Sus scrofa: one gene and its partners. The protein of the gene in region 3 interacts with the protein of the main gene of each other region in a pairwise test. Links are inferred from orthologs where the notes say so. Each region holds a gene or a part of one and is shown on either strand. Other genes may lie near its edges.

Region 1 (8,332 bases), on a different chromosome or scaffold from region 3:
CTAGTCTTTCATCTCAGTTATTAAACATGACGGTGGCTTTAAGGTACACTGTCCCAAAAGTCTCAAGCAAGAAGCACAGCTGTAATCTCTCATTTAGATAGCATGTGCGCTGCACCTGTGACTGTCTAAACACTCAAGAAAGCAAGAAGTTCTGAGCATCTGCAAAGTAATAAAGCTCTGACTCAGAGACTCTTAAGGCTGTCAGGGGCCATTTCCCCACAATTCCAATGAGGGGACCCCTCAACAGAGATGACTAGAAGCATAAACAGATATGCCAAGCAGAATAACCTATGACAGCTGACAACCAGAGAAGTGACAGAAACAGGCCAAGAAAACAAAACCAAGGAAGCAAAACAACTTGAAACCCTTTAACACATGCAGGGCAAACAGTTTCCACACCAAAACTGCCCTCAGGAGTAACATATTAGAACACGGCATATCGAGTTCCCATCGTGGCTCAGTGGTTAACAAATCTGACGAGGAACCATGAGGTTGCGGGTTCGATCCCTGGCCTTGCTCAGTGGGTTAACGATCTGGTGTTGCCAAGAGCTGTGGTGTAGTTTGCAGACGCGGCTTGGATCCCATGTTGCTGTGGCTCTGGCGTAGGCCGGTGGCTACAGCTCCGATTCGACCCCTAGCCTGGGAAACTCCATATGCCAAGGGAGCGGCCCAAGAAAATGGCAAAAAGACAAAAAAAAAAAAAAAAAAAGAACACAGTATAATAACTGCCACATATGGTAGTTCAGTTCAGTTTACCAAACAGCTACCATTCCTGTGTGCATGCCTTCTGTTTAATATAAAGATGAATAAAGATGTACTACCTTCAAATTGATTAAAAAGAAAGTAAATGGTACTTTATAGGCTGTGTAATGAATGGATAATTTTTAAAATACAAGCTTTAGTATTAATAAAGGAGATAAGCTTCAGGAATTTGAACAATTAATGAAGGTAAAACACCCTCCTTAGAATAGATATGGGAGTTCCCATTGTGGCGCAGTGGAAACGAATCTGACTAGGAACCATGTGGTTGCAGGTTCGATCCCTGGCCTAGCTCAATGGGTCAAGGATCTGGAGTTGTCGTGAGCTGTGGTATAGGTCACAGGCGCGGCTCGGATCTGGCATTGCTGTGGCTCTGGCGTAGGCCAGCGGCTGCAACTCTGATTCAACCCCTAGCCTGGGAAGCTCCGTATGCCATGGGTGTGGCCCTAAAAAGAGACAAAGACAAAAAAAAAAAAAAAAAAGAGAGAGAGAATAGATACAGCAATTAAGCCTGGATTATTGTTCCACACAAACAGTGAGATATCTGCATTACTATATTGATGGATGGCACTCACGTACATTTATGGACCCTTACTAGAATGACTAGCTCATTGTAATAAAAGGAACAAATCATCTCCTAGGAGCTTACAGTTTATTCTTGTCCGGATTATCTACCAGTTTCTTACACAGAAAGTAATATATTTCCTCTCACACCCATTAGGATGGCCACTACCAAAGGCAGGAAATACCCAGGAAATTAACAAGTATTAGCAAATATGTAAAGAAATTGGAACCCTTCTGCACTGTTACTGTGAGCTTTTAAAATGATGCAATCATTATGGAAAACAGTATAACAGGTCCTCAAAATATTAAACATATAATTAGCATATGATCTAGCAATTCCACTTCCACATGGAAAGCAGGATCTCAAAGAGGTATCTGCACCCTTATGCACCAAAATGTGGAAGCCACCCAAGTGGCCACTGACACAGGAACAGATGAACAAAATGTAGTACATACACACAATGGAAATTATTCAGCCTTGAAGAAGGAGATTCTGTCAGATGCTACTACATGGATGAGTCTTAAGAACATTAATTATGTTACGTGAAATAAGCCAATCACGAAAGAATACTGTATGGTTCCACATATATAAGGTACCCAGAGTTGTCAAATCCAGAGACAGAAAGCAGGGTGGTGGTTGCCTGAGGCTAGAGGGGGACAATGAGAAGTTGGCGTTTAATGAGCAGAGTTTGAAAGATGCAAAGTTCTGGAGACTTGACAACAACAATGTGATATACTTAACAATACTGAACTGCACACTTAAAATTTACCAACTTAACCATCTTTATGTTTTTGTCACAAGAAAAAAAAGTAATGTGCCTTTCTATCTGGAGAAAATATCCAATATAGACAGCAGTATCAATTAAATAATCATGGTTCATTTCTCAAATAGGGACTGAAAAAAAAAAGTGTGACAAGATGACTGATTTGAAAGAGAACAAAGCCTACAGTGAACAAAAAATGACAATTACACACAGGTTTGAGGGACAGATCTTGCCATCTTCTAGTATTGGCAGTATATACTCAAAAGCAGCTAGAGAACATCCTAGACTATTTATAAAAGGTTTGCAAAGATGCACAACTTACCCTCCCACAGCTGAAGACTCTGTGGAGCAACCGAAGGCCAGATGACAAGATTGTTTGCTTCAAAGAGAGGGTTGGTGAACTTACTCAGTTCACTGGGTCTATTGACCCAGGACCACAGAGACATCGTTTTCTGCTGTAGCTTCAACTTACATCTGATCAAGAAGGAAAATTTCCATTAAAGCAATTATTTTATGACAACCACTTCTTTTTAAGATTTTTTTTATTAGAGTTGATACAACCACTATTAAATGCTCGAAAAGGACAATTTCTTCTCTCTGTTATGTTAGAAAGCAAAACACAAGACTTTTAGCAGCAGAACAAAGTGTTGTAAGATAAAAATATTTGTCAGAGAATCAATTGGCATTCTGTTGTTGTTTGCTGCACCCACAGCATATGGAAGTTCCCAGGCTAAGGATCAAATCCAAGCTGCAGCTACTACAACCTACACCACGGCTGTGGCAACACCAGATCCTTAACCCACTGTGCTAAGCCAGGAATCCAACCTGCATGGGCCACAGAGACAATGTGGAATCCTTAACCCACTGCACCACAGTGGGAACTCTTCAATCAGCATTTTTAACTATCAATAACAACAAAAACAAAGACTGTTTTGCAGGCTTCCAAAGCTGGCAACAATGAGTTAATCCATCAAGAAGATATAATAATTACATATATGTATATTGCACTTGAGCCACAAAATATATGAAGCAAAAACTGACATAGTAGAACAGAAAAATAGACACTTCTATAATACATTTGAGGACCTCACTATCCCAATAACATATAGAACAACTAGACAGAAGATAAACATGGAAATATAAGACTTGACCAAAATGTAAGGTAATTATAGAATACTCTACCCAGCAACAGCAGAAAACACATTCTTCTCAAGTGCACATGAAACAGTCTCCAGGCTAGAACACGCATTAGGCCGCAAAACAAATCTAACTCTATACTGTTATCAAAGAAAATATTCAGAGCAAATACCCTTGATGGCACAGAAAAAACAGCATAAACACATCCATTAAATTAGACTGATCACACTAAACACATATAGCTGCAGTAACTAGAACCAAAGCACAATGAGAAAAATATGGTGGATGGAGAACTTTCTAGAGCAAACAGTTCTAAATTTTCCCCTACTTCTGAAGAATCTATAAGAAAATCTAATGTTGAAAAATTTGCCAATTCAAATTTTACTTTACTTTTTTTTAAGTAAAAAGTATGTATTGCTGTAGACGCTTAATTTTTTTTTTTTTTTTTTGCTTTTTAAGGCCACACCCATGGCAAATGGAATTTCCCAGGCTAGGGGTCTAATCAGAACTCCAGCTGCCGGCTACACCACAGCCACAGCTACAGCGGATCCAAGTCATGTCTGCACCTACGACAGTCACAGTAACACTGGATCCTTAACCCACTGAGCAAAGCCAGGGATTGAATCCACAACCTCTTGGTTCCTAGTCAGATTCATTTCTGTTGCACCATGATGGAAACTCCTCTAGGTGCCAAATATTAAACTGGTAAAAATACAGTAATTCCAGCCTTTTGTGAAAGCTGTTATTTGTTTAAATTTATTATTCAACTAAATAATGCCAACCTAGCCACCAAGCCAAAGGACAAACCTTGCCTCCCATGCAAAGGAAGCCTTTTGATTGTACCCAAAAGAGAAAATTACCAGTTAAGCACCTTTAATGATCATTCTGATACAAATTTTCTAATTAACCCTATAAACTTGATGGTATTTGGGTTGAAAAGTGAAATTATCATTCTGGGCCTAAAGACAATTTCTCGGTATAACAAAATCTAGAGCAGGAACAGGAAAACTTGCACTACAGCCACACTTCTTCTTTTTTTTTTTTTTTGGTCTTCTCTAGGGCTGAGAAGGGATTTGTTAGATTCATTAACCACTGAGCCATGATGGTAACTCCCTACAACCCCACTTCTTCTTCTTCTTCTTCTTTTTTGTCTTTTTTGCCATTTCTTGGGCCACCCCCTCGGCATATGGAGGTTCCCGGGCTAGGGGTTGAATTGGAGCTGTAGCCACTGGCCTATGCAAGAGCCACAGCAACGCGGGATCCGAGCCATGTCTGCAACCTACACCACAGCTCACGGCAACGCCAGATGGTTAACCCACTGAGCAAGGCCAGGGATCGAACCCACAACCTCATGGTTCTTAGTCGGTTTCGTTAACCACTGCGCCACGACGGGAACTCCTACAGCCACACTTCTGATGATCACCTGGCTGTGTGATTCTCTGGCTATTACCTTCCTAATCTATAAAACTAGATGGAGGACAGAGTTGCACTGTATGTTAAAGCTTCCAGATGTAAGATACTATGCTCTTATATAAGGAAATTAACATTTAAAATGGTTGCCCAGGAGTTCCCGTCGTGGCGCAGTGGTTAACAACTCCGACTAGGAACAATGAGGTTGAGGGTTCGGTCCCTGCCCTTGCTCAGTGGGTTAACGATCCGGCGTTGCCGTGAGCTGTGGTGTAGGTTGCAGACGCGGCTCGGATCCTGCGTTTCTGTGGCTCTGGCGTAGGCTGGCGGCTACAGCTCCGATTCGACCCCTAGCCTGGGAACCTCCATATGCCGCAGGAGCGGCCCAAGAAATAGCAAAAAGACAAAAAAATAAATAAATAAATAAAATGGTTGCCCAATTCACAAAAAGCTTTTTAACCAGTGTATGGAGTAAATTTTTTTGTTTTTGGCCGTGCCCAAAGCACGTGGAAATTCCCAGTGATTGAACCATGCCACAGCAGCTACCAGAGCTACTGCAGTGACAATACCAGATCCTTAAACTTCTGTGCCACAGGAGCACTCCAGTAAGGAGTAATTTAATCTAATAGAACTAAATCTAGGATATGCGCTCACCTAGCATGTGATGGGCTCATAATAAAGAATACATTTCATGTAATTTAATTTATACTACTGTAACCTCTACTGTCTTATAAATAAGACCAATGTAGAACCAAATCCTGGTCTCCTTTAGGAAGTAACCAAAACTACTAAAAATAAAATGGCTCCCTGTGAGCCATGTACCCACCTTTCACTTTCATTGTTGCCCAGAAATGTTCCAAATTGTGAGGCGTAAGCATGCTCAAAGAGCATGATGAGGAAATTCTCATTAAATTCAAAAGAACAAGGGAACTGACGAAGTATCTGCCACACACAGTCCAAGAAGAGAAGAAATACAGGTGACTCCCACTTCTGCCTGCTGTTACAATAGGCTGACTGTGCACAGCGCTGCTGGAATGGGTGACCAGCCTAAGAGGAGAGATGGAAATGTGACAGTCATGTCCTGGTGGGATCACAGTATAGCACATTCTGTTAACACATTTCACACGGCTGCATCAAAACTATTATTAAATGGAACATCATATATTTTTGGTGGCTGCTCTTTAATGGATTTCGTAGTTTAAGACAATCTTCAGCACCTAAGGGAAAAGACATTAATTTCCAAATACCTTACTAGCCTATGCAGTTAGCCATGAGAACTGCAGTTGTTCTTGGTATATCAAATAGAAGGATAATGAACTTCAGCGATAATAAACATAAATCTTTCGAGGTCTATGAAATCTGGAGCAAAGTCAAAGAACATGAGCTCTTGCGGTATGAAACAAAGGACAGCTATCCTCTTCTGTCCAGCCAAAGCACTGCAGATCATTGTGAGCTGTGTAAGCCTCACCACTAAATGGAGATAAACAAGGGGTTCTCACAGACAAATTTAACAGGTCACTCCTGATATTGAACTTTTAATTACATGCAAAAAAAGTTATGTCATGGAGACATCTGTGTGAATACTTTTATATTACAGACCAAGCTGTCCTTAGTTTCCCTCTCCTTCTACAAGGACCTGGAAGAGGCTGCCATCTACTGACCAAAGGAAATTTAAGAACCATTAGGCTCTCTGGCCCATCTAGAACCCGAGTTTATCCCAAGAGTCACACCCTTCTGGGTTTTAAACAGGCCTGCTTTATCTTTGGGTCCTCATACCACTTTATCTGGTAAAGCTAATAGCATGAATGTGAATGGGATTTTGATACCCATGAAAATGGTAATATGTTAATAAGTAAATCATACTCATTTGTCTGCTGTGCATCACATGGAATGTAGCTGAATAAGATTTGCATGAAATATTTAGGACGGTCTGACTTAGACATAAAGGTTAGTTGTCAGAGTGGGTAGACTCAGTAAACATAACAGTATTAATACATAATAAACCCAAACTGTAACCAGAAGGGCCAGAAATGATTTTTCTCCAAAGGTACTTATACTTTCAAGATATATCTAAACATTATTTTCAATCGCAATATATATAGTAAGTTAACACAGTATATATACATCTATAAGTTAAACTCCAGCTTGGAAGATTTAAATCTATTTTATGACACCTTTATTTTAGCTGTTCTTCAGCATTAAATATGACAGCACTGTGTGGTATCCTAGGGATAAACAGCTGAATTCGGCAAGGCTCCCTGACTTCTCTGTCACTGTGTCTGGGTATAGTTCAGGAAACAAGGTGTGAGGAAAATGGGTCAATTTTATCCGTGAAGGAAGTCAGGGTCCCAAAGACTTCATGAAAGCAGCGACATTTAGCTGGATCTTAAAGGATGAGAAGGATTTCACATGGCTGGGGAAGACAACGGGATGGAGCCAGACAGGCAGAAGGTAGAAAATGCTAAAGCACATGCTGCCGCCGCATATTTACAAGTCCCCACTCCTCCTCCCCACCTCATTTATGACTTTTATCTCTAGCAAGACAAGACTATGTTACCTACAGGGGAAACACAAAGAATGTAAAAGTACAACTGATACGGGTTTCTTAGGGGAATGAAGCGCCAAGTGAACAATGTGAGCAAAGAGGGAGGCAAAAAGATTAGACATTAACTAAGAGGAAGATGAACTGTCCCCCCAGAAAATTAAACATACAATTTAAACATTTGAATCAATCAGAATTCCATATATTATGTCCTTTCCAACAAACCAGATCAAACATCAAGTGTGAGCAAGCCATTTTTCTCACCTGCAGCCACTCTCTTTCTATCAAGGCCTCAAAGCCACGGATGGTCCTGCTTCTTGGCTCCAAGATGATCTGGGCCAGGGACGTAACCTGAAGTGTGGAATCAGTTCCTTCTGTTCCATGAATCAATATGGATGCTCCTTCCCTGATAGGAAAACCCAGAGTACAGATGGGACACTCCCAACATGGTCAACAACTCTTGTTAATAACATGTTTGAGCCCAATATTTCACAGTCTTGCATTCTGCTCTGTCCAGTAGGGCTTAGAGGCTAAATAAGGAATATGAGGAGAGTGTCCCTTGGGGAAAATATGAAACTATAATAAGTCCCAAATTTCACATGGCGAGAACCTGTTTATTTGTAACAAATTTCATAGAACCATTTAGCTTGATTTTTTCTTTCTTTACAAAACCACAAAGCAGACCTTATCAAACTCAGTAGGCACTGACATTTTCTGCTTTAATAGTTGACTAAAGCCTTTTCTCATCAAACTGAGAAACAATTATTTTTCTGTATCTCTCTGACCTTGCTTCTACCTTTCTGCCATCAGCTTACTGTAAAGACTGCCTTCATAAACTGTAATGAATCTGGAAAACAAGTCCTGAAACACACTTTGAGAAACATGAAAATAGGAAGAAAAATTTTTTTACATATATATATAAAACTGTCAATCTAGAAAGTCAGTGGCAATGATACTATCACAACACGCTGTATGAAGTGTCTGGAACTCCATTATTCTAAAGAATGAAAGGAAACACTGAAAACTAAATTAACTACATCTTCTCCCCTCTCCTCTTTTTATTGAAGTGACAGTGAAGGAAATTGTGGGAAAAGGAAAATAAGCTCACTACTTTCCTGTAAGTTTCATGTTTGTCTACTACTATTAATTCCTTCCCGGA
Region 2 (8,332 bases), on a different chromosome or scaffold from region 3:
GGAGGGGCTGAATGGGAGAAATCTTAAGAAGAAAGAAGAGGGATGTTCCCTTCAAAAGGCCAAGTTTCCCATCTAAGGACTCCTCTTCTGCTGAAAGAAACCTCCCCTCACATCCAACCAGACTCTCCTCCTCAATGAAGGAGGGAAAAGGAAGGAAAGGCTGTTTAATTCTTTTGGGTTCCCCTCAGCCAACTGGATCCCTCACCATGGTAGCTCCCCAAAGGAAGAGGAAAGAGAACAGAATGGAATATGACAATGGCTAAGCATGGTGAGAGAATCGACATTGCAAATGTTGCAGACAGAACTATAAGGTGGCCTCCACTTGGAAATATACTCCCAGCCTCTATTCTGATATGATGAGGAAGGCTTGAGGATTCTGATGGTTCTAGGGGTGAGATTCACCCTCTTTCTGGAAGAAGCCTCTTCCCCACACTGCCCCTAGACTGTAGATCACTTTTCCCCATCCATACAGCAGGAGCCTAGCAAACAAAAGTAGTAGAGGCTTCCTTCTAAAACACTGCCCAAGCAGGGGCACAGAGAAACCAGAGAGGCCTTCCTTAACAACTAAGACCAAAGAATTCCTACCCATTAAGCAGAATGCTATTCCAACTAGATCTAAGAGGACAAGACCTGGGCCCAGCCGCTACTCTACAGAAGAGCAGAGGTTACCATGCTATGTCCGATAGCAACAGAATTCAGCACTCAGCCCAGAGATCTGCTGACACAGCTGATCAGTCCCGGCTTTCCTTCCTTTCCTGCCCAACTATATAGTAAAAATGCTCCCAAAAGACTTCTTGAGGAGTTCCCATTGTGGTTCAGCAGTAGTGAACCCAACTAGGATACATGAGAACACACGGGTTCAATCCCTGGCCTTGCTCAGCAGGTTAAAGATCCAGCATTGCTGTTAGCTTCAGTGTAGGTCACAGATGGGGCTCAGATCCTGTGTTGCTGTGGCTGTAGTATAGGTTGGCAGCTACCACTCCAAACTGATCCCTAGCCTGGGAACTTCCATATACCTCTTCCTAAAAAAGACAAAAAAAAAAAAAGGGACTTCTGAGACTTCCAGTTAAAAAGTCAAAAATGACATCTAGGAATTCCCGCTGTGGTTCAATGGTTAACGAATCCGACTAGGAACCATGACGTTGCGAGTTTGATCCCTAGCCTTGCTCAGTGGGTTAAGGATCTGGTGTTGCTGTGAGCTGTGGTGTAGGTCACAGACGCGGCTCTGATCTGGCATTGCTGTGGCTCTGGCATAGGCCAGTGGCTACAGCTCTGATTCGACCCCTAGCCTGGGAACCTCCATATGCCATGGGAGCGGCCCTAGAAAAGGCAAAAAAAGACCAAAAAAAAAAAAAAAAAAAAAGCCGTCTAGGAGTCCCCTGGTGGCCTAGCAGTTAAGGATCCATTGTTGTCACTGCTATGGCTTGGGTCGCTGCTGTGGCATGGATTTGATCCCTGGCCCAGGAACTGCTGTGCAGGCATGACGAAAAACAAAAATTACATCCAGGTTCTACACTTACAAGATGATAAATTAAAAGGGAAAATAATCAGAAAATGCTAGGCAAACATCTCATCTCGGTTGACTCACTTATGTGGCAGCCATAAGCTCCTTCTCCAGGACCACATAAGTATCTACTTACAGGACTTGGGATGGCATCAGGGTCCAGGCGCTTAGGAGGCAGTGGTTGAGGAGGCCCCGGTTGACTGCCAAAAGTGGCTGCTCCTGGGTAGGGGCTTCCATAATTGGGCTGAGGGCCCCGGGATGGTCCAAAGGAACCTGAGAGACAAGGGCAGAAGGTTGATGAACAGAAAATTCCTTCCCTATCTCTTAAGGCCTCAGGGAAATGACTCGACTCCTCTAAATGTAGAATTGTGAGGTACAGTAATGGCCATTCAGAGAAAGACCACACTATCTGAACTATGGGGAAAAAAATTTATAAACCCTTCATTCTAGTGAAAGTGAGGCTGTCCATCTAGTTCACCACTTAGCAAGCAATACTAAAAGCAAATAAAAATAACAACAAAAACAACTGAATAGCTGAAGCCCTTGGCTCCTAGGCAGACCTTGAGAAAAACTTACCATTTTGCTGCAGCTGATAGCCTGGCTGCTGGGAAGAGTGCATAGGTGGTGGTCCTGGGGGCCCAGTCATTTGGCTGCCAGAGGGCAGAGCTTGAGGAGGAGGTGAGGACACATGGTTGGGCTGGCTCCCTGGGGGCCCCCCAAAACTCTGACCAGGCAGGTGTGGACCAGTCATCGAAGGCATCCGAGGACCCCCTGAAGTTGGGGGTGTGAAGCTGGAGGCCTGTGGTGGGACAGATCGCTGGGGAGGCTGGGCCCCAGGATGGCCCTGGGCCTGGCCAAGGGGTGGAGCCTGGCCCTGAGGATAGGAGCCATACAGACCAGAGTTAGGGAAATTTCCTGAGGCTGAGGCCAGCGATGTTGGTGGGCCTGAGAAGTAGAAGAAGTAGAGTCAGAACCCCAGTCATTCTGCCTCCTTGTTCAGTAAATCATTTTCCTTTCCACACGAGGGACAGGGATGACTGTCCCATCTGCCGGGGCTCAAAAGCACAAGAAATAAAAGGGATTCAGGTATACCCCCAGCTTCTAAAAAATCAAGGGGACAGTAACATTCCTATGGTCATAGCTACTCACCATAGCCCAGCCCTGAAGGGGGAGGGGCTGGGGCCACAGCACCACTGATCTGCATTCCAGCCAGCTGAGCAGTCACCTGTGCACTTGTCGGGGGAGGGCCATAGGGCTGAAGCACAGCTGGCTGGCTGACCACAGGGGCCAATGGGGCCGACCCGAATGGCTGAGACCCAGGGAGCCTGTGAAGAGAAGGAAGCAGAGGCTGGGACATCCTTCAAAGTTGGCAGAAGCTCCACATCATATAGGAAGCTATATTGTTTTACAGCATCATTTTTTGTTTGGTTTTGGTTTTGGCCATAACCACAGCATATGGAAGTTTCCAGGCCAGGGATCAAAGCTGCACCACAAGCGGCTGAAGTGACTCAAGTGGCTGCAGTGACATCAGATCCTTAACCTGCTATACCACAAGAGCAATCCTGCCTTTGTATACTTTAAATGCATGAATCCCATGGTACATGAATTACATCTAAATTAAGTTGTTTAAAAAGCCAACCAGGGAGTTCTCCATGCTTTGTGGTGTGCAATGAGACTGGCAGCATCTCTGGAGCCCTGGGATGCATGTTCAGCCCCCATCACTCCCAAGAGTGGGTTAAGGATCTGGCGTTGCCCCAGCTGCGGCGTAGGTTACAACAGAAGTTCAGATCTGATCCATGGCCCGGAAATTCCATACGCCAAAGGGGGTGGGGGGCAGCTGAAAAAGGGTGGAAAAAAAAAAAGGAAAAAAAATCCGATCAAATAAAATTGCCCTATAACCTCACAGCTCCCTCAAGCTTTTGCTCTTCTTTTAGCCAAACATTTACAAAAGGATTAGTCTATGCTGTTTCTATCTCTACTTCTTTAATTACTATTCCTCTCTCTCTCCAAAGATCTTTCTCCCTTTTTTAAAATTTTCTTTTTCTTTATGGCTGCACCCATGGCACATAAAAGTTCCCAAGCCAGAGACTCAATCTGAGGCACAGCCACAACCTACATGACAACTGTGTCAGTGCCCACAACTGCATCAACACCAGATCCTTTAACCCACTACGCCAGGCTGGGGATAGAACCCAAGCCTCTGCAGCAACCTGAGCGGCTACCTTTGGATTCTTAACCCACTGCACCACTGCGGGAACTCCTAAAGATCTTTCTAGGTTCATTTCCATGTTTTTCTTAGTCTATCCCTTAGTAGTTTTCTCAGCAAGGGTCTATACATGGTAAACTCAGTCTGAAAATGTCTTTTTTTTTTTTTTTTTGGTCTTTTAAGGGCCTCACCCACAGCATATGGAAAGCTAGGGGTTGAATCAGAGCTGTAGCCGCTGGCCTACACTACAGCCACAGCAAGGCCAAATCTAAGCAGCGTTTGTGACCTACACCATAGCTCACGGCAATGCTGAATCCTTAACCCACTGAGAGAGGCCAGGGATAGAACCTGCGTCTTCAGGGATGGTAGTCAAATTTGTTTCCGCTGAGCCACTATGGGAACTCCCTGTAAATGTCTTTATTTGCCCCCTCTCTTAGCTAGGTACATATCTCTATGTTGATAGATATGTTCCCTTAATGCTTATAAGGTATTAGTCTACTATATGCTCTCCTCTAAAAGTTTCTTATTTATTTACTTTTGCTCTTTCAGATTCTTTTTTTTCCTTTTTTTTTTTTTTTTTTTTTGCTTTTTAGGACTGCAGCCTCTGCATGGCATGTGGATGTTCCCAGGCTAAGGGTCGAATGGGGGCTACAGCTGCTGGCCTATGCCACAGCCACAGCAATGCCAGATCCAAGCCACGTCTTCAACCTACACCGCAGTTCACAGCAACACCAGATCCTTAACCCACTGAGCGAGGCAGGATCAAACCCTCAAACTCATGGTTCCTAGTCAGATTCATTTCCCCTGCACTACAATGGGAACTCCTTCTCTTTCATATTCTTTCCCCTCATAAATTATCAGACAATAATGGGTAGAGTTCTCTGTGCTCTACAGCAGGTCCCCATTAGCCAATCATCCCATATACCTCAGTGAGTATATGCCAATCCCAAGCCATCTCTTCCCTACGCCTGTCTCCTTTGGTAACCATATGTCTTTCAAAGTCTGTAAGTCTGTTTCTGTCCTGCAAATAAGTTCATTTGTATCCTTTTTTTAAATTTTTATTTTATTTATTTATTTATTTTTGTCTTTTTGCCATTTTCTTGGGCAGCTCCCGCAGCATGTGGAGGTTCCCATGCTAGGGGTCTAATCGGAGCTGTAGCTACCGGCCTACAGCAGAGACACAGCAATTCGGGATCAGAGCTGCGTCTGTGACCTACACCACAGCACACGGCAATGCCAGATCCTTAACCCACTGAGCAAGGCCAGGAACCGAACCTGCAACCTCATGGTTCCTAGTTGGATTCGTTAACCACTGAGCCACGACGGGAACTCCTGTATCCTTTTTTGAGATTCCACATATAAGCAGCTTTTTTTTTTTTTCTCCTTTTGTGGCCGTCCCACAGCATATGGAGTTCCCAGGCCAGAGATGAGCTCCAAGCTGCAGTTGCAACCTACGCCATAGTTGAGGCAACACTGGATCCTTAACCCACTGTGCCAGGGCGGAGATTGATTCGGTGCCCTGGGGCTCCTGTTGCGCTACAGTGGGAACTCCTCTTATTTACTCTAATCACTATTTTTTCCTGTGAGAGACCTTTATGGCCTGGGTTGAGGGAGCATGACTATTTCACATTTGATTCTGGATGGTACTCCAATGATATTGCCACACAAGATCAAAAAATTTTTTAAAGCTTTAAGATATAATTTCCATACCATTAAATTCAGTCCTTTTGACCTGGCATTGCCATTAGCTATGGTGTAAGTTTCAGACATGACTGGGATCCCACATTGCTGTGGCTGTGGCTATGGCCAGCAGCTGGAGCTCTAATTTGACCCCTAGCCTGGGAACTTCCACATGCCGTGGGCGCCACTCTTTTAAAAAAAAAAAAAAAATCCTTTTAAGTGTTTGATTCTAAAAATCAACTGTTTTTAGTAAATTTATAGAGTTATACAACTATCACCAGAGGAATTCCCACTGTGGCACAACAGGATTAGTGGTGTCTCTGTCTCTTGTGTCCTATCTCTACCAAGACACAAATTTGATTGCCTGGCCCAGAAGAGTGGGCTAGGAACTTGGTGTTGCCACAGCTGCGACATAGGTCCCTGGCCTGAGAACTGCACATGCCCTGGGGTGGCCAAAAAACAAATAACAAACAAAACAGCCATCACCAGAATCCAATTTTAGAATGTTTTCACTGCCCTCAAAAACCCCTCGTATCTATTTGTAGCCCTGAAACCTTTCTTTTTAGAGAAATGGGACCCCTTATTATTTCCCTCTGCCAGGGTGCAGATTTTTTTCCCTAGTCTACCTGTTCAATGAAGGTGTAGACCAGGTCCAAACTTCATAAACAAGTCTCAATTCTAAACCTTGGCTCAGAAAAGTGCAAGATATCTGCTTAAACTTAAGTCCCCAGGTTCCCAAGATGATCATTTCCACCCTCTCCCTAGGCAGCCACAGTGTCAGCTTACCACTCTGATTTTCAGTTCTCACTTGGTCTCTGGCACTTGAGACTTTAAGTTTGACTATGCATTTGAAAAAAAAAAAAAATTCCATTTCCTCCCTCCTTTCTAGATGTTTGTCATAGAAGAGTTTTTAGGTTATATTAATCTACTTCCTAGCTGAAAATCTTAGACCTAACTAGACAGCTGCTTTCATATGTCCACTGAAACTACATTTGTCCAAGCCCAATGGTCAATTCTCAGTCCACATTTCACCTTTCAGCAGCAAATGATCCAGTAGATTACTCTCTTGACCTACTAAAATACTTTCTTCACCTACTTTCAAGATGTTTTTCTGTCTTGGCTAATTCCTACCTCGTGACTGCTTTCTCATTGTCGTTTGGTGGCTTCCCTTCTGACTGGCCTTTTTTTTTTTTTTTTTTTTCCCACTATTTAATATCTTAAAATGCTATGTATTTTATTTTATTTTTTTTCTTTTTTAGGGCCACACCTGAAGCACATGAAAATTCCCAGGGCAGAAGTTGAATCAGAGCTGTAGCTACAGGCCTACACCACATCCACAGCAACACCTGATGCGGCCCATCTGTGACCTACACTGCAGCTTGCGGCAATGCTGGATCCTTAGCCCACTGAGCAAGGCCAGGGATCGAACCCATATCTTCACGGATACTATATCAGGTTCTTAACCTGCTGAGCCCCACAGGAACTCCTGACTGCCTTTTAAATGATGGTAATAGATGGACTGGGGGTTTGGGATTGGCAGATGTACACTACTGTATATGGAATAGATGGTCAGCAGGGACCTGCTATATAGCACAGGGAACTCTACTCGATATTCCATGATAGCCTATATGGGAAAAGGACCCAGAAGAGAATGGATATGTGTATGTCTATAACTCAATGGGTACTGTACAGGAGAAATTAGAACAATGTTGTAAATCAACTGTACTTCAATAAAACTTTAAAAAATGAAAGAAAAGGAGTTCCTGTTGTGGTTCAGCGGGTTAAGGATCCAGCACTGTCACTGCTATGGCTCAGGTCACTGCTGTGGCGTCAATTTGACCCCTGGCCCAGGAACTTCCACATGCTGCGGGTGCAGCCAAAAAGAAGAAAAGAAAAAAAAAATTTTTTTTGGGTAAGCTCCAAAACTCAGTCCTCAATTCTATTATTTAATCTCAATGCTCACTTCCTAAGTGATTTCATCTAGTGCCCATGGCTTTAAGTACTGTCTCTATACCAAAGGCTCCCTAATTTATATCTCCAGTCCTGACATCATTCCTCAGCTGCACATCTGTTATACAACTGTCTACTCAACATCTCTACTTGGTAGCTGGCAGCTTTCTTAAACCTATAATGTACTTGGATGAGCAATAAGGTCCTGCTGTACAGCACAGGGAACTATATCCAATCTCTTGGGATAAAACATAATGGAATTCTCCTTGTGGCTCAGCAGGTTAAGAAGCTGAGACTGACTCAGTGGATTAAGGATCCAGTGTTGTCACAAGCTCTAGTGTAGGTCACAGATGTGGCTGGATCTGGCATTGCTGTGGCTGTGGTGTAAGCCAGTAGCTATAGCTCCGATTCAACTCCTGGCCCAGGAACTACCATATGCTGAAGGTGCAGTCCTAAAAAGAAAGAAAGAAAAAGAAAAAAAAAAAAAAAAAAAAGGAGTTCCTGTTGTGGTGCAACAGGATCTTCGGTATCTTGGGATCACTGGCACTCAGGTTGGATCCCCAGCCTGGCACAGTGGGTTAAGGATCCGGCGTTGCCACAGCTGCAGCTTAGGTCAAAACTGCAGCTCAGATTTGATCCCTGGCCCAGGAATTCCATTTGCTGTGGGGCAACCAAAAATGAGGGGGGAAAAAAGGGGGAATTCCCATCATGGCGTAGCAGAAACAAATCTGACTAGCATCCAGGAGGATGCAGGTTCGATCCCTGGCCTTCGTCACTGGGTTAAGAATCTGGCATTGCCGTGAGCTGTGGTGTAGGTTACAGGCCTGGCTCAGATCTGATGTTGCTGTGGTTGTGGTGTAGGCCAGCAGCTACAGCTCCAATTCGACCCCTAGCCTGGGAACTTCCATATACCGTGGGGGCAGCCCTAAAAAGCAAAAAAAAAAAAAAAAAAAAAAAAGAAAAACTTGAAAAAAAGGGAAGACAGTATGAGA
Region 3 (8,218 bases):
ATTAACTCTCCTTCTTTGGTTTCAATTCCATTTTATCTTATGATAAAATTGTGGCTCCTACTTTTGGAGTAAAGAGGAGTTGATCTCAAAGCACAGAGATTTTCTTTTAATAGGAAAGGTAAACCATTTACAGTTAATGAAATGACAGGTTTGCTCTTAACTCTGACATTTTGTATTATGTTGCATGTATGGTTTATATGGTTGTCTTTCAGCCTGTGTTTGGTCCTTTTGCCTTTTGTTTTGGTACTTCTAATTTTGAGGAAGCGTGTTTGTTGTATTTTTACTGTTTCCCCATATATAATGTCTTCCATCTTAGACCATCTCTGCAGGCTTACTTGAATGGACAGTGACAACAGTGACGGTTGGTTTGCATCTCTCTCCTTTTCCCCTCCTCTAACCCAAAGTCAGTGGTATTTTTAATACTTATCTTTGCACTGTTAAATATGCTTTTGCTTCTGACTTGATTTGCCTACTTTAGATAATTTCCTATGGCTCTAAGCAGTTACAAATGAACATCCATGGATTTATTCTGCTTCCCATCAGGGTTATCTTCCTACCTTTCAAAGACGCCCTTTCTCTGCGACCACAAATACCATATTTGTTTCCTTCAAAAAGGGCCTTTCAGTGGGTTTCTCCAGGCAGGCACGCCTTTTTCTCCCTCCAAACAGGCTCACCTGTCCTGTGTTTCCTGCCCTCACACCAGTGCCCCTCTCATTCTGCTGCCTCTTCCTGAGCTCTGCTGTGGTTAGACCCTCCTTAGCACTTCTGTCCCTTCTTTCTCTCCCAACTCTTGGCAGCTCAGCTCCGTTTGAGCTCCTCCTGTTTTCAGGATTTCATCCTCAACTCTTGTACCCCACCGTGACCATCCGGCCTCTAGAGCATCTATTTGGCTTTGCCAAATCTTTCTGAAATCTGCCACTGACAGGCCCTGTGCCCCCCCGGCAGTCTTTCCTTATAAGTTCTGTCCAGTCATTAGGTATCACTACTGACACTGGAGTCTGTACATTTCCTTCTCCTAGTGTCCTTGACTATGGAGTTTATCAAGTCCTTCCCCTTGTTCTGTGACTCTCTATGATTCTAAGGAGAAGGGAAGGGAAGATATTTGAGTTTAAGCTGTGCCATGCTCATTTAGGGAACCAAATTCTGACTTTTTTTTTTTTTTTTTGCTTATAGGGGCTTCACCCTTGGTGTATGAAAGTTCCCAGGCGAGGGGTTGTATCAGAGCTACTGCCCGCCTGCAGCACAGCCACAGCAACATAGGATCCAAGCCAAGTCTGCAACCTACACCATAGCTCATGGCAACATCAGATCTCCGACCCACTGAGTGAAGCTAGGAATCGAACCTGCGTCCTTTGGATACTAGTTGGATTTGATTCTGCTTCATCCCAATGAGAACTCCCAAATTCCTAACTTTAATGCTTTTATTAGGGATCCTTGTGTGGCTGTCAGTCTGGAATAAGGTATTCAGCATAGTTAGAATTTCCTTTTAATGCTCCTGGAAGAACAAACTAACCCACTGTTACTTTTTTTTTTTTTTTTTTGTCTTTTTTAGGGCTGCACCTGCAGCATATGGAAGTTCCCAGGCTAGGGGTCGAATTGAAGATGTAGCTGCCAGCCTACACCACAGCCACAGCAACACGAGATCCGAGCCTTGTCTGCGACCTACACTGCAGCTCACGGCAACTTAATGCCGGATCCTTAACACACTGAGTGGGGCCAGGGATTGAACTCAGGTCCTCATGGGTACCATTCAGGATCATTACCGCTGAGTCATGATGGGAACTTTGTACTGTGACTTTTTTTGATCCACTGTATTTTAAACCTGCCAGCATGAACCCCTGTTGCTACAATAAACAGGGGAACTTATTGGTCTATGGCTGGTTTGTCCCCTCAGCCTCATGGACAGAGCCGGCAGCACTGTACCGATATTCTACATGGTCATGATCATGGTCATTTTGCTTCCCTCAAGAATGGTTATAAACCATGATCTCATTCTGTAGACTCCCTACCCTCCATCACTCTTTTTTTTTTTTTCTTTTCTTTTTAGGGCTGCACCTGAGGCATATGGCAGTTCCTGGGCTAGGGGTCAAATCAGAGCTGCAGCTGCTGGCCTGAGCCATAGCCATGGCAACACTGGACACGAGCTACATCTGTACCCTGTGCCATAGCTTGCAGCAATGATGGATCCTTAACCCACTGAGTGAAGTCAGGGATCAAACCTGAATCCTCATAGAGACTATGTCGGGTTCTTAACCCACCAAGCCACACTGGGAATTCCCTCCATTACTCTCTTTTAAAATTTTTAAATATTTTTGTCTTTAGGGCCGCACCACAGCATATGGAGGTTGCCAGGCTAGCAGTCTAATCAGAGCTACAGCTGCTGGCCTACACCATATTCTCAGCAATGTGGGATCCAAGCCTCATCTGCCACCTACATCACAGCTCACAGCAATGCCAGACCCTTAACCCACTAATCGAGGTGCCAGGGGTTGAACCTGTGTCCTTACAGATACTAGTCGGGTTCGTTAACCACTGAGCCACGACAGGAACTCCCCTCCATCACTCTTAAGAGAAGCAAAGAGAAGCCCACAGATGTGAATTTTCCCAGTCCCTCTTCCGCTTAAAATCTCATCTATGCTGGCCGTTTTCTGGCCCTCCTTTGCTCACATCCAAGAAGAGATGCTCTTTCTCTCCAAGGCTACGTACAATCTCTTTGCAGAGGCGTTACTTTTTTCTTCCGCAAGTTCATCAACTTCATCAGTTCTCTTTGTCCCCTCTTTATTCTGTCACAGATAAACTCACTTCCTTTATCCTAAAAGTAAGCTAAACCAAACCAACAAATCTCAAAACGTTTCTGCGCATCTTAACCCCCTTCAAAGTTTTCTGCTTCTCCCTTCTTAACAGTCCAAGCACAGCTTCTACATCAAGCCCTTGCTGAAACTCTGTTGCTAAATAGAAGTCAGTTTTGTCCTCATGACAAGATCCAGTCACCTCATTTGTCAAAAATCTATGCGTAGCCATGCCCTCCATGTCTAGACTGGGCGATCTGCTTCCACTTCTCTGTTCTCCTCCAGCTAAATGTTAAATTCTGCTCTGCTGCAGGGCTATCGTATTTTCTCCCATCACATCATCTTTGTTTTGTCGTCTACTTTTGAGTCCAAACAACAGGAAAAGGGCCCCAGTTTAGAAGTTTTAGCAAAATTTCTACTCATGGCACGCAGAAGTTTTTAAAATATCACAATCACAAGAAATCATTTAAAGTATCATTCCTTTTAAAAACAAGCTTACCTCAACTTGCGAACTGTATGTGTGAAGATCATTAGAAACAAGTAGTTTTGGGGGAAGAGCAGGAGGGAAAAATTAATCTTTGTTTTTTAGCTTATTTGTACGGGAGCAAGTAAACTGTTAACAGACCAATAACAAATTTGAGTTAAGTGCAGTACTATGGAACTGCAAGGAAGCACAGTAGCTCTGAAGCAAACACAGAGCTCTGTAAAGGGAGAAGGAGAGACACCACTAGATTTCTAGTTCTGCTGTTTGTCTTAGGAAAAGCATTTGGGGTGAAAGGAGTTTTTGGTAACTTTATTTTCTAAAAATCCATCCTACCTCTATGTTTTTTGTTTTTGTTTTTGTTTTTTTTTTTTTGCCTACATCTTCTCTTGTTAAAAATGAACAGCAACAAAGACAAATGCTTATCCGGCCACACGTTTCGGGTCAGCCCAGTTCAGCTTGTAGAGCGCGAAGGTCCAGCAGGAGGAGTTGTGCGCTGGGCCGCTGCTGCGCAGGGGCCGTCCAGCCGCACTGGATGATGTCCTCCAGTTTCTTCCCAGGGACGGACTCGGTGAAGACCGCCGCCGAGAGGGACGGACGGAGATTGTAGGCCACCACCGCGTAGAGCACGTGCTGACGCTCCCCTGAGTAAGGCACCTGCCTAGTGGTCATCTGCCAGAGGGTGATGGCAAAGGAGTAGATGTCCGCTTTTGGGGTGACGGGCTCGCCTTTGAGGAGCTCGGGGGCTCGGTGGGTGTACGTGCCGCCCAGGTGGTGCCGAGGCCGGAAGCGCAGATCTTCCAGCCTCTCGGAGCAACCAAAGTCGCTGATTTTGCAGACGTCCTGCTCACTGATCAGAATGTTCGCTGGCTTCAGGTCCAAGTGCACAATGCCTTGGGAGTGCAGGAAAAGCAGGCCACTGACCACATCCAGGGAATACTTGAGACACTTCTCCAAGTTCAGTTGCTCCCCAGCACTGCAGGGAGGCCCATCCTCCTCTGGACAGCCCGTAGCGCCGTAGATGACCTGGTGTAAGGTGACGTTGCCGCCGAACTCCATGATGATGCTGCCCAGGCTGTCAAAGGCCGCGGGTGTGCGCGTGCTGGCGGCCACCACGCGCACGATATTGGCGTGGCGGAGCCGAGCGATGTTGAGCTCGGCCCAGAAACTGCGCTGGGATGCCAGCCGGTTCTTGGTGCATCTGCTCACCTGTTTGATGGCCACAGGCACGCCGTGGTAGGTGGCCTTGTATACCGAGCCGAAGCCCCCGGCTCCCAGCCGCTGCAGCAGGCACACCTGTTCCCAGTCTATTGAGCACCAGGCCAGCCGGCGAGGAAGGCGCAGGGCCCGGGGTGGGGTGCCCCCCAGGAAGAGCTTCCCTGTCGGCCCCGGGAGCTCGCAGGGGCTGCTGCAGGGCCGCGAGTCCACCGACGGGGAGAAGTCGCCAGGCAGGCACCGGCGCCGAGGGAAAGGTGAGGGCATCGCCCTGCGGAGGGCAGCCCGCCGCGGCTTGGGTGGGATAGGAGGGAAGAGAAGACCCAGCGGGCGGGCGTGCAAGCATCACTGACCACCTGCCGCTCCGCGCCCCGGCCCAGCGCTTTTCTCCTCTGCCTCCATCTTCCGCAGATGAGCCACATCTGTGCTGTTACTCAGCGAGGGTTGTTATCAGATGGGGAAACAATCTGAACGAAGCACAAAAATCCCGCTCAGATGAAAGCATTTCCCTTTAGCACTTAAAGTGAACTCCTATGAAAACAAGCCCCGGAGAAGCGTTGACTGGATAAGCGGCCCTAAGCTGCCCCAGAACTCACCCACTTTTACACTGCTGCTTCTCTTATCGTAACACAGGCTTCCCCCCCAATTCTCATCCGCCGAGCATTATCAGTCCACCACAACAGTGCAATGAAAATATTCCACACTTTGCAGGCTATAATGATTGTCAGTTTATTCTCCAGCTGCATTAAATCACTGCCAGCAGTTATTGGCAGAAAGAGTTGAAACATCAACAGCTGAGCTTTTTTAACCGATTACAGGGAAAATTAGGTGCAACGTTCATATATGGAGAAAAAAACAGTAACAAAGTAATCGACCCAAACAGAATCACTGAGTCAGGTCAAAATACAAACCTCTTAAATTCATCAGGGAAAAGGAAAATTCTCTGACAGTCCACTCAGCTTATATAGCGAATTAGCAAGACTTCTTAGCAATGTAAAGACTCCCTAGCAATCCTTCCGGTCCATGGCAGTCCGGCCCACCCAGGAAGCTCCCTTGCAGAAGAGATTCTAGACTTCACAGCAAATGAGTTACAGAAGTTTTGAAGCAGAGTTAGGGGAGGAAAAAGAGCAAAAATGATTCAGAGCCATGACCAGAGCTTCAAATAATAACAAATATGAGAGTATCCTAGGAGAGGAAAAATCTGAAGAAATAAAAATGGCACAGAACCACTATTGCCTTCCTATAATGTTGAAAACCAGATGTTGAAATTAAATCCAGGGTCTTGCTGTCCAACCGTTAGTTCTTCCATTCTAATTTTTATAATAAAAAACTAATTTTTATTCCATACTTTTGGAAAAAGACCGATAATATTACTCTGTTCATTAAAAAACACGGGAAAGGTGTTCCCAGGTGGGTCAGCAGGTTAAGGATCTGGTGCTGTCACTGCAGTGGCTGGATCACTGCTATGGCACAGGTTTGATCCCTGGCCTGGGAACTTCCACATGCCACCAGTGCAGTCAAGAAAAAAAGAAAGAAAAATGAAGAAAAACAACACTGGAGAATGGTAGTGTCTACATTTTGAAACATCAAATGATGAAAGTTCTATCATGACTTACTGCACTTAGGGCATGTAGGTGATGTGTGACCACATTTTTCTGGTGATAGGTCTATGCTTCTGAAGTGTATTGGTTCTGAGAAGGTATGTTAATAAACACAATCCATTTGAGCCATTGGAAGTCTCTTGAGCCCTAGGATAAGATTTCTATTCTTTATCACCCATCTGCCTTAGTGGATAATATTGAGCCTTGATCTTTTTACTTAAGAAATTAGGATAGGAGTTCCCGTCGTGGCGCAGTGGTTAACGAATCCGACTAGGAACCATGAGGTTGCGGGTTCGGTCCCTGCCCTTGCTCAGTGGGTTAACGATCCGGCGTTGCCATGAGCTGTGATGTAGGTCGCAGACATCGCTTGGATCCTGCGTTGCCGTGGCTCTGGCGTAGGCCGGTGGCTACAGCTCCAATTCAACCCCTAGCCTGGGAACCTCCATATGCCGCGGGAGCGGCCCAAGAAATAGCAACAACAACAACAACAACAAAAAAAAGACAAAAAAAAAAAAAAAGAAATTAGGATAAAATTATTAAACTTTTTTTTTTGGAACAAAATTTGGGGAGCCCTTTCCAGAGTGAAGACAGTAAAAATCTAAAAAGTGTAAACTATGAGATATTTTAATAGAAATACAGTAGTATCAAACCTGAAGTATAAAAGGATGACAGTAAAAGGGTAAAATAAGAAAACATACAATTGTATTCTATAATAAGTCTATATTGCAAAATCTACTCAATAACCATCACATAGTTGGGATTATAGTTTAGGGCTCTGAAACTGTTATATGCTCTTAGGAATGCTGTAATATTAGCCAAATAAGAGCAGTAGATAGAGTGCCTCAAACGTCTGGGTATCAGACATAATGCAAAATGATGTGACGTTATAATGTAACCTTTATTTTTAGCATGAACAACTCATTTTTCAAAGTTTGACTTTATTATTTTCATAAAATGTAAGGTAGTAATGAAAATGTGCTATTCTATTAACAAACCCCAAGTTCATTAGGGCCATCATTTGCAAACTGCCCAAGGGTATTTAATTAAATATCCATTTTAAAACAGTCTCTGGGGCCAAATGGCCTGGGCTTCTTACTGTCCCTCAGTTTCCTCACTGTAAAACGAGGAAAAGATCCCTGCTTCAGGACTGTTGTCAAGATGAACAGAGTTCCAGATACTTAGATCAGGGCGTGATAAATAATACTTAAATGCTATTTATGAAACTCAGAAAAATGTATATGGGATTATACCAATAAGATCTGTTAGACAGTATTGGTTTAAAATATACCCTACCAGGCCTGAAGTAACATCACTTTATCACGTTAAGCCAATTTAAAATTTGAGTATTTTTTCCTGCACTTAAATTTTGAGGTTAAAGACATAAGGGTGTGTCATTGACGTACTGTTACACACTAAAAAAGGCGGGGGGATTGACATTGATGTGATAAATGCAATAATTTTGTCATCCCCAAATAAGTTAGGCAAAGAATAAAATGTGTTGATAACAGGGGAGGCACTGCCTCCCCAGAATCTCAGGTGAAACAGTTAGGTCAAGAGACTGTGGTTCTACTGGCGCTGGCGAGCAAAAGGCTCTCAGGTTCTTAAGAATAAATAGAGGCTCGACATGTCTGCTCTTTCCCAGGACAGCAGGGCTGTGAGGAGATCTTCAGTATCCGGCAGGCAGCAGCTTGCTATTTATCGCAAGATGTGACAACAGGTACAAGAATTAATAGCTCATTGAATTCGATTTCGATCACAAAGACTGAGGACACCGCCTGCGGGAGGAGTGGCTCTGGGCCGGGTCGGGCGGCTTCCGCTCAGGCGGAGGACCGGGACGCCGCGCCGCCAGCATCCCGCCAGCATCCCGCCGGGGCCAAGCGCGGCGTCGGCCGGGGGCCGGGGACTGGGGGCCGCAGCACGTGGCCGAGGCCCCGCCCGAGGTCCAGCCGGCGCCAAGCTGCTCCGTTTCCCGACGCTCCTTCGAGCACAGGACTTCAGGGTCCTTTCAGGTCCTTTCGGAGCATCACGTAACCTTTTGGAAAATTCGTTTAAAAGGCTTTTAAACTCGAAGTCGTAGAGACAACGCTCCAACCCCCACCCCGCCCCCGAAGATGACGCCCCTGGCTGCGCAT

Evidence for each region.
Region 1: the proteins of MOS (region 3) and MTMR9 interact in binary tests that used the Homo sapiens proteins (3 or more experiments, as listed by UniProt). The link is inferred for Sus scrofa from reciprocal best matches to the Homo sapiens genes MOS and MTMR9.
Region 2: the proteins of MOS (region 3) and SEC24C interact in binary tests that used the Homo sapiens proteins (3 or more experiments, as listed by UniProt). The two-hybrid records come from large-scale screens. The link is inferred for Sus scrofa from reciprocal best matches to the Homo sapiens genes MOS and SEC24C.

What each region holds. Positions count from the first base shown.
Region 1 is NC_010456.5:14,489,737-14,498,068, reverse strand, and holds part of MTMR9 (myotubularin-related protein 9), read right to left. Parts: intron 7,580-8,332; coding exon 7,438-7,579; intron 5,679-7,437; coding exon 5,458-5,678; intron 2,562-5,457; coding exon 2,410-2,561; intron 1-2,409. UniProt on the Homo sapiens protein: Acts as an adapter for myotubularin-related phosphatases. Increases lipid phosphatase MTMR6 catalytic activity, specifically towards phosphatidylinositol 3,5-bisphosphate and MTMR6 binding affinity for phosphorylated phosphatidylinositols.
Region 2 is NC_010456.5:76,480,940-76,489,271, reverse strand, and holds part of SEC24C (protein transport protein Sec24C), read right to left. Parts: intron 2,830-8,332; coding exon 2,654-2,829; intron 2,450-2,653; coding exon 2,081-2,449; intron 1,778-2,080; coding exon 1,641-1,777; intron 1-1,640. UniProt on the Homo sapiens protein: Component of the coat protein complex II (COPII) which promotes the formation of transport vesicles from the endoplasmic reticulum (ER).
Region 3 is NC_010446.5:75,736,109-75,744,326, reverse strand, and holds MOS (proto-oncogene serine/threonine-protein kinase mos), read right to left. Parts: upstream 4,926-8,218; 5' UTR 4,753-4,925; coding exon 3,715-4,752; 3' UTR 3,251-3,714; downstream 1-3,250.